Drosophila melanogaster: one gene and its partner. The protein of the gene in region 2 interacts with the protein of the main gene of each other region in a pairwise test. Each region holds a gene or a part of one and is shown on either strand. Other genes may lie near its edges.

Region 1 (3,755 bases), on a different chromosome or scaffold from region 2:
GCATTATACACCAAGGCAAGCGCTTTACTTCAGATGCAAATGCAGTGCAATGGAGAATGTTTATTACTCATTACAAAATAAACGATTCGCATACTTATTAAAATACATTTAGAGGGTAATGTTGTGTATTGTACTACGCTTTTTACGTTGTTGTTTTTGTTTTCCCCTGCGTTTCAACATAATATTGTAATATTGTAATTAGTTCTGCAAGTGATTACGGCTAAGTTAAATACTGCATTGTGCGCTTTGTTTTGTATCTTCGGATATAAGTTGAATGATTGTATTTTGTAATTTAATTTTAAGCTTGAGGAATCGCGTCTGAGGTGGATGAATTGCAGCCAGGCCGAGATCGAACCATACAAGAGATAAATATTAGAACCAACAAGTGTAAGGGAAACAACAAAACCAAACAAACAAAACAAATAAAAATAAAAACCAAACAAAGTGGCATCTGTTATTAGGTTAAAAGAATTATTGATATTGTTTGCAAGAAAATGTGTGAAATATATATAAATACAAATAAAATACCACTTAGCATAAAAACAAACCGTGAACAGACAAGCAAACAACAACAGATTGTAATTGCAATTTAAAAATAAAATTAATATTTCAAATAATAACCAAGCCGTTTTAAATAAAATGCCAATGGGAAGTTCTATGTGGTGTATGGGGCGTATGCGTAATTTTATTAAAAGTCAGCTGTGTTTTATATAATTTAAATCGATTTCATTTACTTTAATTGTTAATTGAAGTAATTTTTTTTGTTGTGAAGTTAATTTTTATTATGCAAAAACAAACTTATTTTATATATTTGTTGCCTTTTTACAAGTTACTTAAATATTTTAATTAAAAATACATACATTCTATATCACAAAATATAAAAAATATCTTAAATAAACATCTCATCATTTTTGATTGCTAGAATGCACAACCATCCCACTGTGCGACGTGCATCCGCAAAGGATTACGTCACTTGCCGCCGCGTCTCCTTTTTTTTTTTTTTTTTTTTTTTTTTTTTTTTTTTTTTTTCCATATTACGATGATGTTTTTATTATTTGATCAACGCACTGTTACCCATGCGGCAACTTAATTTGATCTGCTTAAATTATTTTATTTTACAATGTGTCTTGGTTACTTAAGACTAACAGATTTTTAATCCTAAAAATGATAGGGAGAATTATAATAGTTGATATAACATAGTAATTATTATTTATTTGATTATTCTAATGAATTTTAAAACTAAGACTTTCTAGGTCAAAACCAGGTTAGGGAGGTCATGAGGGTGGTGTCGCTTGAGTCTTCTTTTGACTCTAGTCCGAGGGTCAGCATTGACCACAGCTGCAGTTCCTAGCTTCCTTGCTAGGCTGTTGGGGTGTACATTAAGCCTTTCCATATATTTTTGGGCGATGTTCTGGAGCTTGTCTCCTAATTTGGGCACCTTGAGGTCGCGTTCGATGTCTCTTGTTCTCATATACCAAGGAGCCCCCGAGCCGCCGCGTCTCCATCGACACGGAGACTGACCCTCGGGCATCAGCTGTTTTTACGGACGAAGGATGACGGGGAGCCATAGGGGGAGCAGCGGTGCCGAGGGGTCGAAATGCCGCATGCACTGGCGGCAATCAGCTGTGAAGCTTTGGGGCACTCGGAAAGCTGCCCAATTCAAGGAGCTTCGGAGAGAGCCGGCGGTGAGCTTTGGCTCCGAACGGGAAAATAGGAGGCGACATCGAAAAGCAAGCGGCGCACCAGAGACTTTTCGGTGTTCGCCGCGCTTCGTCATCCTGCTTTTCCGCTTTTCCGAATCGAGAATGCGTGCCAAACTGCATGAAAAGGAAAACTTGGTCAGTTGAGGTCTCAGTTCGGGTCGGGTTTGCAATTCAACAGCACTGCGGAAGCGGAGAAAACTCGTCACCAAAGCGGACGGGCCAAACAATAAGCCAGCGTAGTAATATCGACTTCACACCGCCCTCGATATATATATAATATATATATATATATATATGATATTCGCAAGAAAACGGTATCGGAATGATATCCAAAAGTGCCAACCCATTGAGGGCCTAATCCAATGTGTTGGAAAATGATTGAAAATCGCGTGGAAATTGCAATGTGCGAATTGAAATGTGTATTTGTGTTTTGAATTCTTAACGCTCAACCCAAGTGTTTCCATTTTTTGCAGTGAGTGAGTGAGCGAGTGAGTTATGTAAAGCTCTGGTGTTGGGTTCTTTTCGGTCTTCGCGTTGGGTGCGGGATAGTAACCCATACCACCGCCCGCAACAATAACAACAACAACAACAATTGTAGCAACTGCACCACCAGTAACAACAAGAACAACCACAGCGAGCGTGTGAAGCGACAATAAGTGTTGCAAGATTGAGTGGCTTCAAAAAAGTGGTCATTAAAAATTAAAGCTAGAGAATTAGGATGCAAAGAATTGGGATTTCAAAACTAGGATTGTACTGGCGGTGAAAATTAAGTATACGCACCCACGGACCACTGCTAATTTATGCATGAACTTGAAAACTGAACACTTTTAGTGCATTTTGGCGTGCTAAGCGATAATAAGTTTATGATGCACTAAAAAATATTTAAAACCGTTTGAAGGTCAAGGAATAAGAACCGAATATTAGATTTAATTACATTTTTCAAATAACTAAATTGTCGGTTCAAAAAACCTTAATTCGACAATTCAAATTCTTAACTTTACTTGGTTTTGTAATACAATTTATTTGAGGAAAATATTTCAAAGAAATTTTGAGTTTTAAATATAAAATATATAAGTAAAGCGGCTCAAAAGCATTTATTCGAGATATTAAGTATACGCACCAGAGACCACAGCTTGCAGCATATAGAAATTGTAATGGCAAAAAATATAGTAAATACTCAGAACACTTTTGTTTTAAATCATATAAATGTATTTTTCAAATTTTAAAATATATAAAATAAAATATATATCTAATATATATAAAACAAAAAAATTAAATATATAAAATATATTTTTACAAATCAAAGAAAGGGTTTCCTAGTATTAGCACATTACAAGACAATTATTTAAATTTGGAAAAAGTTTTCAGACACGCAGACCCGAGTTTAAGTTTAGGAAAGGCCGCCGCAGAGCTACACTATTTTATATAAAGCCCCAAGTTATCGCAGCTTACCCCGCGTGGGTAAATCAATCAAAAACCATTTGCAGTCGCTTCAATCCCCGGCAATCAGCCCATTGAGCAAGCTTTGTGTATCATAACACAATCAGTTTGGGTATCGGCATCAATTACCAATTATAACTTGACAATAAAATCGCCAAGTGTCCGCATAAAGAGCCCAAAAGACACTCACACACACACACACACTCAGCCGCCAATCAATTCGCTTTTAGCGGTCTCCGACTATTTTTAGTTGCACTTGCTTTCCTTTTTTCTGGTTTTTGTGTTTTTTTAAGTTTATTTTACTTTGCACAATATTAGTGTCAAGGTGCAGCCAGTGCATAGAGACAGAGATGGAAATAGACTCCGTGACAGAGACGGCGACAGTCGAGCCAAAAGAGCAAGTCAAGAAAGCGCAAAAGAAACCAAGAAAAGGGGCGAGAAAATGGGAACCCCTTTTCTTGGCGGCGGCGACGACATCGCGAGAAAGCAACACACGAAAAGGTGGCTATCAAAAAATAATAACAAATACAACCACACGATGGGGAGGGGTGTGGAGTGTAGGGGCGATGGCGGTGCATTTTGGGGGTGGCAAGTGGGCGAAAAAGGGGGGAT
Region 2 (3,755 bases):
TCGATCCCCCATAAAGTCGAACATCGACGCGCAACCGATGGGCGGTATCCATGCGATTGAAGTTCATGGCAAAAAAAAAAATGAAAAAGTGTACAGAAAATGCAGAGAAAACCCGGGAAATCGGAGGATCGTAGACAAGGTTGTGTTGTGAAGTAACTTGTTCGAGAGTTGTCGCCTGAATGAAATTGGAAAACGTCGAAGATCGGAGAATTCCAGGCCGAGATCTACCGACGTCGACAGCGACAGCGACTGAGACTGCGACTGCGACTGCAGCAGAGGCGCATCATCTTTGGAGGCACAAATAAATAATAAAAAAAATAAAATTAAACGAACTAAAACATTGACTTCCAAGAAAACAACCACACGGAATTGATTGGCGACTACAAATTGGGCGAACAACAAAGTTTTACAAAAAAGAAGGGCACTGAAAAATATTTACATATAAGCTTAGATTCACTGTGAAATTATTAATCCGAACTAACTGATATTCAAGATCATTTGAATAGATCACTTGGATGTTTGGTAATAATTCAAATATAGATTATAATAGCTAATATTATTTATTTTAATTGTTCTTTTATATTTTTTTTGCAGTGTAAAACAGCACGAAAGAGACGGAAATGGAGGAGAGAGGGATTAGCGGAGATAGCAAAAATACTGGCAAAATCAAAACACGCACTCAAAACACAACAAACTAGATGAGGAGACTGATTAAAACGATCCGAAGTTGGAATACACTTCAAGGTCACAAAAACAACAATAATCTCCTATCATCAAAGGAATAAACCCGCCGCAAAGAATCATATTTAAGTGGGCTAATTATCTTAACTAAAAAGCTTATTATTCCACAAGGCACCGGGATATATTCGCAGAAACTTGATTGACGCAATCTAAACTGATTTATTATCATTTTATTTTTGTATATTTTGAAGTATGTATCTTAAGAAACCCAAGTGCTATACCACTTTACAGGGTATTATAACTTTCCTATATTTCTATATGGGTTAGTGCGACTCAAGAGATGTTGCGACTGATTGGCAGCGCAGCGACAGAGGATTAGCGCTACACTGAAACAATGCAGTGGTACATACAATAATAAATGAATTAAACAATTTTCAGGCAACTGATGCGGCTTGTGGGCAATATTTGCTTAATAAAACAAGCATTGTTAACAAGTTAAGAAGTTCTTAAATACAGCTTGTAACCAAAGATCATATCTGCATCCACACAAGGCATTTCTTCGAGTGTAGCGAACCGTGTGAGTTATTGCTACAGGTTTTTTTTTTGTTTTGAGTGAGAGTGCTTTGCTGTGTGCGTGGGAGAGTGAATGTCATTTGCTTTCTTTTTGCAGCAGAGAAAATAGAGAGAGAGAGAAAGACAAAGACAAAGACATCGAAAGAAAGAGATGTACAAAGAAACATTCAACTTGGTATAATATTGTAATAGGTAAGCGATGATTTGCAAGAAATAAGTTAGCCCATCTTCATTGATTTAAGGCCATACGTTTTGCTACCAACTGGACTGCTGTGTTTTCGCGCAGTGCACGAGGTCAGTGGGTGGCGGTTGGGTGGTTCGTGTGGCTCGTGTGGCTTGTGTCGTCGCGATGCATTCACTTACATGGGCAGCGGCTGGGGAACTGGCGACTTACATGTCGCCCTTAGGGAACTCGGCTTTTGGGGCATGGACATGGAGGTGCAGGCGTTGAGGGACTTGCCGCTGGCCTTGCTGCCCAGCGGACCGGCCGCATTGGTGGCCGCATGGGACATCATCGATCCGTCAAAGGAGTCCACATCCTGGACGCGCAGCTCGACGGGCGAACCGTCCGAGGTGCTCAGCATTCCGCGGTACGACATCTCGGCAATTGAGATCCTGGATCCTGGGATCCTGAACGGTCTATATTGGCTAACGGCTAATCCAAATGAGTGTTTCGTGTTGATTTGTTTCGATTTTTCTCCGATGTTTACTGATTTGTGTGTTGTGAAAATCTTGAGTGTTTGTGTTTTTTTTATTTTTGTTTTGTTTTTTATGTAATTCCCCCGGTGACAGGTGTCGCCGCTCTGCTCGATATTCTGCTCTGGGGCAATGTCTTTGGGCAACTGTCGGTTCGGATCGGTGGAATATATATACCGCCCGCGATCGACTGCACTTAATTTAGTTTGAATTCCGTTCGACGCAATTCGCGCATCTCCTACGCGTCTGTCTTTCGCTTTTTTCTTTGTCTACGCCTCAGTATTTTCCTCTGCTTTCTCTCCTCTCTCACTCTTTATATAGTTTCACACCTCTCCCGATCCCAGCGGATCCAAAGTTTATATATCGGGTAAAGTTGGTAGGGAGCTTTCTAGTCACTAGCAAACACGGCTGCGGCACAAAGCTCGGAAAGCCCACAATGTTTGCTAATTATAAACAATATTTTGGATAAACAAACTGCATATAGCCACGCCGAATGGGTGGAACGCCAAAGGGGGTTTTCAAGATCAAAGCTCTTCGAACCCAGTAAAAAAAATAGATATATACATATGTACAAATTAGACGATTAACAATATGGCATCGTCTCTAACTTTAACCTCTTCTGATTAGCTAAGAATGGGCATGTGATTTAAAGGACTAACAGTTTTTCCATTTATTGAAATTCGGAAAAACGACTTTTACCAAAAATTTGATATTTACAAACCGAATTTTCGTCATAACTTTGGTAAAAATGGTCATATAGATAAAAGAATACCTGTTTTGAGCAGCTAATTACCAATGCTAACTAATTCTATCACTTTTTGACGAATTTTGGAAAAAAAATTTTTTCGTAAATTTTTGCATTTTTTGTAAGGGGTACCATCATCAAAATTTGCAAAAAATTGCAAAAAAATGGAATTCTAACTTTTAAATACAGTTTGATTGGAAATTTAATTACGAACTCAACGATATATGACATTCCATATTTGGAGCACTAATTTTCAAGTTTTGGTCAAAAAATGGATTATTTTTATACCCAAATTCAAAATTTTACCATTTTTGTAACCCAAAATTTGCGAAAATGGCAACAATTTAGAATTTTTATATTGAAATACTAAATGAAAAACTACTTTTCAAACTCAGCGAGGTACGATACATCATTTTAGGTAAATTTGTATAAATAATTTGGCCAAAAGGCGGACCTTATTGGTCAAAAATGCATTATACTGTGCCACTCTTTAAATTGATTATGGAATTGGTTATTTCTCAACTTGAAACCACCTATATGCTCATTTATCATTGTCAAATACATAATTTCTGCATAATACTTGTAGACCACCAAATTAATGATCCATTTTGGCGATGTTTCGATCGAATCGATCGACAAGTGATAAGTACGATAAGGCTGCCTCCTTGACACACCACTTCAAATTCGTAGTTTGCTATTCCGTATTCTAGTCTGGTAACTTTCCTCTATTAGGAGGGCTCGGCTCGATTTGTTTAACGCCCTGTCAGAAGTGGCTTATCAATAGCCCCCAGATGGGAGCCAAAATTGGAATTGGAATTGGAATTGGCAATGGAGTATCGGTATCGGTGGTTAGCGGTGGGTTGTTAATAACCCATGTGAAGTTTTTTCAGCTTTTTTTCTTTTTTCTTTGATAGCTTCATAGGCCAATTGGTTTGTTCAACCTGGTGGTATTGTGCGCTTTTCGCCATGTCTGCAAGTCATTGTCAGTTCATTTGCCTTATTTGCCGAGTGTGCGATATGCAAACATTCATACATATACTATGCAAATATATATGTTTAT

The links. The genes of interacting proteins can lie anywhere in the genome.
Region 1: the proteins of AMPdeam (region 2) and pHCl-1 interact in a two-hybrid assay, tested with the Drosophila melanogaster proteins (one large-scale study listed by BioGRID).

What each region holds. Positions count from the first base shown.
Region 1 is NT_037436.4:15,897,019-15,900,773, reverse strand, and holds the start of pHCl-1 (pH-sensitive chloride channel 1), read left to right. Parts: upstream 1-1,853; 5' UTR 1,854-1,942; intron 1,943-3,755.
Region 2 is NC_004354.4:13,837,918-13,841,672, forward strand, and holds the start of AMPdeam (AMP deaminase), read right to left. Parts: upstream 2,095-3,755; 5' UTR 1,854-2,094; coding exon 1,649-1,853; exon of another isoform or gene 1,645-1,648; intron 182-1,644; exon of another isoform or gene 68-181; coding exon of another isoform or gene 1-67.